2 linked regions of the Oryctolagus cuniculus genome follow. Each later gene encodes a partner of the first gene's protein in a complex. Links are inferred from orthologs where the notes say so. Each region holds a gene or a part of one and is shown on either strand. Other genes may lie near its edges.

Region 1 (4,439 bases):
CCTGTTCCCCTCCAGAAGTGCTGGAGGGCCGGGGCCCTTGAGGTGGGAGGTGAGGAAGGAAAGATGGGCCCAGAGCTTCTGTCCCTCGAGTCCCCTCTGCGCTTGCTGGCCCTCGCTCTGGGCCTGGCCGGCATTTCCTGTTGGATCCAGGTGGCTTCCGCGGTGACAGACAGACAGGAGGACTGTTCCAGCCTTACTCTGGGACGGAAGGACATCTGTCCAGGTGCCCGGGGACACTGGGGCTCAGCTGCCTTCCTGGGGTCAGCCTCACACCGAGGCAGAGCCGTGCCTTGCCCCAGGGCTCAGGCCCGCCAAGCCAACAGCTGAGACTTCCCAGGGAGTGACAGGGAAGGAGGGCTCTGTGACCAAGGCCACAGGGCCAGCCCACCCCAGACCCCAGGGACACGGGTCTCAGCTGGAATGTCACCTCCTCAGGGAAGCCACCCTGCCTACCCCATAAAAAGTCACTCCTCTCTACCACGTTTCACCCCGATAGCACCTGTGTCTGCTGATGTCATGTATCAGATGTTCACAGTTCTCTTCCCTCTCTTTTCATTTTATTTGAAAGGCAGAAAGACAGACCAGTGGAGAGAGATTTGGCCACCCATTGGTTCACTCCCCAAATGCCTGCAACAGCTTGGCCTGAGTCAGCCTGAAGCCAGGAACCCAGAGCTCCAGCCTGGTCTCCCACATGGGCGGCAGGGACCCAGGTACTTGGCCTGTCATCGGCTGTCTCCCAGGGTGCGCATCAGCAGGAAGCTGGTGGGAAGCAGAGCAGCTGGGGCTTGAACCAAACGCTGGATCTGAGACGCAGGGGTCCCGACTGGCCGTGCCAAATGCCCACACTGCCTCTGTATTAACCCTGCTCCCTCCACACGGGCGCAAAGCCTTGTCTCCCTTCTCCACTCCCGGGACAGCGAGAACAGCTGGAGCACAGCTGGCACTCCCCGCACGACAGGCGCGGGCCACTCACACACACACTCGCTCCCAGCCACGCTCTGACAGATCGGGACACGGAGGCGCAGGAGGTTCAACGGCTGCGAATGCGGGAGCTGGAAGGCACACCGGGCGGGTGGTTCTGGGGTCTGTCTGGCACTCAGATGAATGAATGAATGACTGAAAGAGTGAGTGACTCCCGGGGCTGCCCTTCCCTCCCCGCCTCCCGCCTGCCTCTTACCTCCGTTGGAGAGCTGAGCGGGGCTGAAGGGGCTGGGCCTCCCAGCGGGGGCCTTCCCAGGGGTCTCCCAGGGGCGGCCACGCCGGGCCTCACAAGCCGCCTGCCTCACTTCCTCGGCCACGGCCACGTGGCGGCGTGGGGGTGCCAGGGTGATAAAGATGGAGGAGGCGACCCTCTTCTCGGGCTTTGAGGCCATGGCTTCAGGTCCTGGCAGGGCGAGGACAGAGTGCAAGGTCCCGGTGGTGCAGGCTTGCTCTCCCCCAGGATGCAAAAGGAAACAGCCCCGCCCTGCACACCTCCCCAAGGCAAGACAGAACAGCCCCGCCCCGCCCACATGCCGGAGGGGGTGGGCGAGGCCCTGTGGGGGAGGGCAGGGGCCCACCAGGTGACCCTGCCACAGGCTGCTGACTGCCCCTCCCCCAGCCCTGGCGGGCTCACCTCGGATGAGTAAGCTTCCTGCCTGGATCAGTCACCTCCCAGGAAGGGATCCGGATTCTCTCGGGGGAAGAAGTCCCTGAGGCTCAGGCCAGCTCTGCTGCGGGAGGGAGAGGACAGGACGGTGAGCACGTCATGCCCACACCCCCTCTGTGCCCACACCGCCCTCCTGCCGTGAGAGGTGGGCACCTGCTACTCCCATCCCACCAAGGGGAACCTGGGAGACCTCAGGGGTAAAGCCACTTGTCCAAGGGCTCACAGTGGCAGAGCCGGGATTAGAACTCAGGGCCTGGGCCCCCGGCGCCATCTGGCTCTGTTCTGCCCTCTCGGCCCACCCGGCAGGCCAGCATCCATTTCTCTGCCTCTCCAAAAGCGAGGTGTGCTTCAGGCCCGGGCAGTGTTGGGGAGAGCCCAGGAGGGGGCTCAGCGGTCTCCAATCTCACCTCCTGACCTTGATCTTTCTGGAGCATAAGTCTGTTTTTCCACTGCTCAAAAGCCTTCCATGGCTCCCACCTCCTCAGGAGAAAGTCCTAATTCTCCCTCTTTGGGTCCACCCTGGATCACTCATCCACCCTCCACGGCTTCCCTTCTGACCTGCTCCTCCCACCTGGTCTCCCTCCGCTGCCACCCACAGGGTGAAATTCTGCTCGAGCGAGCATCACCTCCTCCAGGAAGCCTTCCCTGATTCCTGGCCCTCTCCCTGAGGCCCTGTCTGCTTCCACAGGGAGGTGACAGCCCCGTCACAGGACTAGCTGGCTCGCAATCACCCATCCGACCCCCTGCAGATACTCGACTGCACCCTGAGTGTGGCTGGGGGTAGCCATCCAGGTATAGATATGGGGACAGGTGCCGGGTGGAAGCCGTTTTCCATCTCTAAGGCCACTCGGCAGACAACGTGTGTGTCCACGGGGCGGGGGGGGGGGGGGGCAGGGCACAGGCATCCTCCCTGGGCACGAGGCTAAAAATTGCCCCTTATCTCTCCCTCTCTGCTGTTGTGCTGCCCGGGCCACCTCGCCAGGACTGTCAGGCCCAGGCCACAAGCATACGAGGCAGAGGGCAGACAAGGAGACAGCCATCGGACCCCCAGAAATGGGGCTGGCTGGGTTGAGCTGGGCTGGGGGCCCCCGGAGAGACCCAGTGGTGCCCTGGGAGCTGGGGTGACCGTGCACAGGGTGCACAGAGTCCCCTCCCCATCTCCAAGTGCACCGGCCACCGCGGGCTCCCTCTAGGACTGCCGGAGACAAATCACACGCACTCGGAATCCCTCCTCAACTGGCTGCTACACTGAGTTAAAACGCTCAGCCTCCTGGTTAGAAACCGGTGCGTGGGGAGGCAGCCTCCCTGGCCGCCACCCGCCACTCGGTGAGCAGTTCAAAAGCCCACTTTCACGAGTGACGTTCAGGGTGTGTGCGAGAATTGAAGAGATAAACCGCATGGCGGGCACCCGCCGAGATGGCTGCGGGCCAGGCACTGAGCCCAAGGCTGTGTGGGCCCCAGGGCTCCCCCATCCTGGCCTCAGCCCACGATGGCCCCCCTCACAAACGCTGCGTGAGCCTCCCCCTACCCCCAGAGTAGAGACCCCGCCCCCCCCGCCCGGCCCCGCCCCGCCCGGGGCAGACACAGAACTCTCGGGGAGCGTCCCCAGCCGGCAGGTCCAGGGCTGTCCTCACACCTGAGGCAGCCGGGACCGCGCCCCCAGAAGCTGCAAACCTCAGGACGCCCCCACCCCCGGCCCCTCCCCAGCCTGCCCTGACCCCTGCCTCACTCCTCCGGGAAGCTGGATCTATCCAGTTTTTCGGAAACGTCCAGGGCTGACACCAGATGGCCACAGCTGGGCAGCCTCCGCCCCCAATCCTCCCAGCAGGGACCTCAGGCCCCAGGGGAAGGGGCTGGGTGGGGATTTCACAGGGAATCAGAGTCCAGCCCTGCTGGGGTGCCCGGCTCCCCTTGCCCCGGGGCAGCCGCCATGCCCCGCCCCGGGGACCCTCTGCCCCCCTCCCTTGGAGGGCAAATCCCAGATGCAGTCGGGTAAGCGGAGAAAGTGGGAACAAAGGGAGGGAGACTCACTTCCTGTCGAGAGGAAGGAAGAGGCTGGGACCCAGCCCGCACCGGAGCACCAGGCGGCCAGCTGCAGCCCGCACCCAGGGCCGGGGGTGTCTGACCAGGAAGGGGGAGGTGCTCCCACCCCACTGTCCCCTCCTTCCCCATTCCTTGGCCCCCCTCTAGAAGAGCCCCGGCACCTCTAAGTTCTGCACTTTAATACCTTGACAAAGCAGTCTGTCTGCAATTAAACCCCCCTGGAGGTGAGCGGCTGGGGGCTGCACCCCAACCCACGCCCTCCCACAGAGACCTGGCTGCCTTGGGGTGGGGGTTCCCCCCAACTCCCTCCTACCCCAGGGAAGCCGAGGAGGCACAGAGCAACCTTCACCCGGGAACCCACCTCTTTCCTGCTGGGCGGCCAGAGCAGGGCACCTACCCTCTCTGGGCCCGGATTCCTGCACAAAGTGCCAGGGGGTGGCTGGTGTGGGAAGGGGAGTGCAGGACAGCTGGTTATGTAGCCCTCACCCCGAGAGGGACAGCAGGCGCCCCTGGGGGCCAGGACTGGGCTCCCAAAGTGACTGGGAGCAGGGAGCGGGAATCCGGGGGCTGCCCCAGCCTCTCACAGGGGCCCTCCGCTCTGGGCTGCAGCAAGAGCAAGGCCAAGAGCGCCACCGCACACACCTAGGGCGTCGCCCCGGCCTGCAGAGCTGCCCCCCACCCCGCCCCGCCCCCGCCCGCCCCTGGCCCCGGGGGGCCCGGAGCTGGGGAAACCCGGCGCCTCCGCAGG
Region 2 (5,181 bases), on another chromosome or scaffold:
TCCCCCTTAGACATCCTTTCTTCTCCCCCTCCTCCAGATCTTGGTGTGGGGGGTGGGGGGTGCCAGGAGACCAAGGGCCTGGGGAACTCCGGCATCCCCCACCCGAGCCCCACCTGCCAGGAAGGGCGAATGGGGGTCTGCCTGGCCCTGGGCCTGGGGCTCTGACTCCTGGGCGCGCGCGCGCGCACACACACACACACACACCCCGTCCTGATTCATCCTTCCTTCCCCAGCTGCGCCCCAGCCCACCCCTTTCCCCTGGCTCCACTGCAGCACAATGGTTTGGCAGCTCCCGGATTCCATGACACACTCACGGCCGGCCTCCCGGTGCTTGCTGCTTTCGCTCTCTGTCACACACGCACACACACACACACAGGTCCACGGCACTTTCACACGAGCTGTGACCTGGGGCCCGCCCCTGACAGCCTCCCCAGCTGAGGCTCACGCACCCAGAAGGGCTTCTCGGAACCCTGGGAGGGAGCCCGTGAGGCTGCCGGGGTCGGTGGTTCGGGGGTGTCATTCATATTTGCTGGAGACAGGGCTCGCTCCCCAGCAACTGGCCCAGGGCCAGACAGCAAGTGGTCCTGGCTTTGGGGCAGCAGACTGGCCGGCAGGCCAGGGCCCAGAGCTCCACTCTGGGAGCAGTGACCTTCCTCCTCCTCCTCCTCCTTCCCTTCAGAGGCCAGGCAGGCGAGAGGAGCTCAACCCCAGCTTCTTCCCTGGTGATAAACCTCAAGCCACCATTTCTCCGCTGGCCTGGGGATACCCCCAAAGGAGTGGGAGGGGCCGGAGAGCCAGCCCCAGAGGCCACCCCAGGCTTCAAGTAGAGGGGAGGAGGCTGGGCTGAGGGAGGTGCTGGGACAGCTGCTGCCCCCTCCGGCCCCTCCCTCGGCTGTTGGCTCCAGGAGGAGGAATAGCAACTGCGGAACAGCTGCGGGACAGAGCTGCTGCTAGGCCTCTTTGTTCGGAGGGGCTGAGGGGGCAGAGGGGGCCTGCACAGGGCTTGGGGGGAAAGAAGGGCACGCGGCTCTTTTAACCCAGTCCTACAGGTGGACCTCGCAGTTTCCAGCTGCTCCCTCGCCTGACTGCCCTTCCCAGGCCAAGAGAAGGGGGGGGGTCTTTTTGACCCCCTCCCAGGTGTCCAGAGGCTTGATATCAGTCCTGAGACAAGGCAGGGGGTAGGGGGAGGCAGCCCCTTCCCACCACTCATTGGGGCAGGGGGAGTTACAGGCCGCCACACACCCCTCCTGTGGGCAGTTGGCCACTGCCCCTCCCTGCAGCCTGGCCCGGGCCAGCGCCAGCGGCTGAACTGCTGACAGCTTATCTCACCAGGGAGCCAGCCACTTGGCCCAAATGGGGCCGGCTCCCCTTCCTCTCCCTGGAGGAGCCCAGGGAGCCTCCCTCCCACCCCCAAAGCAGCACTGGCTTCTTCCCCCTCATCTCCGGGCTGGCCCCTCTACTGCTGAGCCAAGGGGGCTGGAGGCTCCGCCGTGGGGGAGGGGAGAGGTGCAGGGGGGTGGGGGGGGGTAGGATGAGGCCCAGAGAGGGGCTGCAGCCCCCGCAGTCGGCAGGGAGGGAAGGCGGAGCAGTTTGCTAAAACGCTTGGCTTGGAGGAGGCCTCTGGCTGTCCCCCAGAGACCCCACCTGGGATCCTCAGTCCAGCCTTTGGATGCTAGCGTGCAGGGGGTGCCTGCCCCTCCTGTCGCTGCCCTCAGCCCCACCCCCACCCCTGCCCTCGGGCTTGTCCTTCGGGAAAGCTCAGAGACATCTGCTGTGTCACGGAGACAGGGCTATTTCCAGGCCAGTGCAGGCGGCTGGGGGGGGGGCAGTATTGGGACAGGACGAGGTAAGGCCTAGGGAGGGGACTGGACACAAGGCGAAAGGCCCCGAGCTGACCTCAGCTGCTAATTCCGGAGGCCCAGAGATGGCCCTGCTGGGAGAGTGGGGGTGGCCAGACGCCCACTTCTCTGGAGAAATCTTTGGGGCAGCCTGTGGGGGGGGGCCACCTGGCCCCACGTGAAACTCCCCTCCTGGAGCCCTGGGCTGTGCCCTTTGCTGTCAATCACAGCAGGGCTCTTAAGAGAGGGTCACAGGAGCAGGGCCTGCCCAGCCCATGCCGGGCCGAGGAGACGGGCGGCCGCTGGCCACTCAGAACCCACGCCGGGCTGTGGGGCTTCCCGGCCTAGAGCGTCTCCCCACCCCCACCCCCACCCCCACCGACACACCTTCCAAATCTGGTTACACTCAGTGACTTCCTCCCTTCCACGGGCCCTCCCCTCCGCCCGGCAGCCGACCGCCAGGGCAGCCAATCCCTGGCTTCGGGGTGGGCTGGACGGGCAGGAGCCCCCTCCCCGGCAGGCTGCAGTCCGGGGAGGGCAGGCAGGGGTTAAGGCTCCCAGCCCTCGCTCCAGGCCTTTTTAGGTTTCTGAGGCCGGAGCCCAGCCGCTGAGCACCGAGCGCTGAGCCCTGGCGTGCGGGGGGCCTCCCGCGGCTCTCCCAGACGTGGTGGGGACCTGTCCCGAGCCAGCTCCTCCCGTGCGGAGGACCTGGCAAACTAGGAAGCCATTTGCTTTGTTGAGGAGGGACGCCCCCAGGGCTCAGCCCCGGGCCCCGGCCCCATGCTCTCTCCTGCGTGGGCGGGGCTGCCCCCAGGGAAGGGAAGCGGGCAAGGGTGCGCATGGGGCGCTTGCGAGCTGTGCACTCAGCTGAGGTGAGGTCTGGACCCCCAGGGACACCCCGAGAGCGCTGTGGAGGCAGTGCCCGCCGGTCGGGGCCGCCCCCAGCTGCCCCCCAGTGCCCTGTCCCGGCGGCCAGCACCCGCGTCCCCGGCCCCCGGGACAGCCCCTCCCCCTGCGCCTGTGCCCCCGCACTGACCGATGGACACGAGCTTGATGTGCTCGCGCTCCAGGAACTCGAGGGCCACGGACACATTCTCCAGCTTCATCTGGCGGAAATTGGGGCGCGGGTGGAACTTGCGGTACATGCGCTTCTGGCTGAGCACCTCCAGCAGCGCGATGAGCCGCAGCCCGTCGCTGAGGTCGCGCTGCAGGTCGGTCAGCCGCTTGCCCACGCACTTGAGGTGCTCGTTGCACCAGCGCGTGAACGTGTTCTGCTGGATCTTTTTCCACGGCGCGTCCTCCGCCAGGTCCTTCTCAGTGGACGGCATCTCGTCCGCCTCGTCGCCCAGGCCGAAGCCGGCGGGATCCGCGTAACTGCTGTTGTTCATCATGCTGGCTGGCTGGGGTGCGCTGTCGGGGCGCTGTCGGGCGCTAAGCTCCTCTCCAAGTTCTCGGCGGGCCTCCTCGGCTGCTCGGGGCCGCTCTCTCTAGCTCTCTCCCTCCGGGGGCGGAGCGGTGCTGGGGAAGTGCGGGCCGGGCCGGGCCGGGGGGTTTAAGAAGCCCGCGGCCCCCGCTCCACGTCAGAGCGCCGGCCTCCCAGGAATGCCGCCCGGGCCGCGGTGGGGGCCGCGCGCGCCCCGCGGCCCCGCCCCCGCGCGCCCCTCCCCCGCGCGCCGCCCCTCGGCCCGGGCCGCGCGGGCGGACTGACAGACGGGCGGGCGGGGGCGGGGCGACAGCGCCCCACCCGCGCGCGACGCCCCCCGGGGCCGCACCGTAGGTCGGGCCTGAAAGGCCCCCGCGGGGACTGAAGAGGTACGAGGGGAAACTGAGGCCAGGGGTGAGGGCTGAGCGCACTGATGTGATGGCGTTGACAGAATTTTCTGGACCCGTTGGTGGCAGGGCTGTTGACAGGGCCTGGGAGTCCTGGCTGCTGGCCCGGGGTATTGTCCACCTGTGGACTGGGAAGGGAAGTGTGGGTGCTTGTGCAGAGCTGGCCTGAGAGGAAGCAGAGCTGCAGGCTTGGGGGCGTGCCTCCCCCTGCCCGCCACCCCCGTGGCTCCAGTTAACTAGTAGAAAAGCAGTTTTTGGAGCCCAAACCCAGGGTCCTGGGGGAGGATCCAGGTTCTGCCCCTGACTCAGTGTCCCTGTCACCAGCCCGTTTGGACTTATGGCCTCAGAGTGAAGCCCAGCTCCGGGAAAGACACCCAGTGAGTCACACCGAGTGTGCCCCCTCTCCCCCAAGTCTGACTCAACCGAGGTGAGGAGAAAGGAGGGGGGCACGGCCCCTGTGGTGCCAGGGAGCCCCCTGGGCCACGTGCAGGTCCTCCCAGGGAAAGGGTGGGCTGCCCAGACAGGCCGAAGCTGGGAGAGCCCCAGGAACTGTGACTGGGTGGGCGGAGCCAGGGCCCAAGCCCGGTCAGGGACAGCCCCAGGGAGGCCGGCCCTGTGCCCAGGCAGGACTGGGCTCAGCCAAGGGCTGTGGGAGGCTTGGCCAATGGCCCCAGTAGGGAAACTGAGGCACACAGCCAGAGGAGCTGCCTGGGATGAGGAGAAAGAGCTATGGAATCTACTATTATAAAGGGCACGTGTATTGTACAGCTGGGTAGCGTACATGTCCCGACGCGGGCCTTGCCACCTCACCCTCCGAGCCTTCTAGACTCTGCAGGCTTAGCTGGATGGGAGGCCATGCCTCTAGCTGTGTGATAACTGGGGGTTGGGAAGGTCCTGGGCCCTTGGAGATGATCCATTCTACCTTAGGCTTGGTGAGAAGGGAGCGGACAGAGGGCATCTTTGGGGGGACCCTCTCCCAAGGGCAGAATGAGGACGGTGCTCATCGTGGAGAAGGAACTGGGGAGGGGGCAGCAGTGCTTAGGGCGACAGAGTTGTCTCCTTCTCTTTCCCTTCTTGTGTAATGAGATTGCCTGGCCCTTAGGGAGGGAGGGGGAGGAGGAGAGAAGGGACCAGAAACGGGAAAGGGGCCTGCTGTGCGTGGCTGGGAGGGAGGGGGGCTCTGGGGGCCCTGATAGTGACAGGCGAGGTATAAATAGCTTGGGCCCTGCAGCTCATGTTCTGTCGCTGCCAGTGACGAGGTACTCAGGAATTCTACTCTCCCTCTGGCAACCCCTTGCTCCCAGCTCCAGAACCCTCCTCTTGCTCCCCACCCCCACCCCAGCCATCTCCGTCCCATGGCCAAGATCACCCAAGAGGCACCAGTGTATCCAGCTGGGAGGCTGAGCTCTCCAGTGGAGAGAGGCCCCACCCCTGCCCCTGTGTGTGGAGAGGCAGACTCCTGGCTGGCGGCCCGAGGTGCCGGGGGCTCGGAGTCCAGCAGAGTTGTCTCTGA

The links. The genes of interacting proteins can lie anywhere in the genome.
Region 2: the proteins of FBLIM1 (region 1) and FLNC are in contact, whole or in part, in an NMR structure (PDB 2K9U), measured with the Homo sapiens proteins. The link is inferred for Oryctolagus cuniculus from reciprocal best matches to the Homo sapiens genes FBLIM1 and FLNC. Residues at the interface, in NP_001337080.1 of Homo sapiens: Arg8, Val9, Ala10, Ser11, Ser12, Val13, Phe14, Ile15, Thr16, Leu17, Pro19; in NP_001449.3 of Homo sapiens: Thr2339, Ala2344, Gly2345, Gly2346, Leu2347, Ser2348, Ile2349, Ala2350, Val2351, Glu2352, Gly2353, Pro2354, Ser2355, Lys2356, Ile2359, Phe2361, Asp2380, Glu2382, Phe2387.

What each region holds. Positions count from the first base shown.
Region 1 is NC_091438.1:153,865,108-153,869,546, forward strand, and holds part of FBLIM1 (filamin-binding LIM protein 1), read right to left. Parts: intron 1,713-4,439; 5' UTR 1,616-1,712; intron 1,385-1,615; 5' UTR 1,374-1,384; coding exon 1,178-1,373; intron 1-1,177. UniProt on the Homo sapiens protein: Serves as an anchoring site for cell-ECM adhesion proteins and filamin-containing actin filaments. Is implicated in cell shape modulation (spreading) and motility.
Region 2 is NC_091434.1:165,025,600-165,030,780, reverse strand, and holds the start of FLNC (filamin-C), read right to left. Parts: upstream 3,487-5,181; 5' UTR 3,230-3,486; coding exon 2,875-3,229; intron 1-2,874.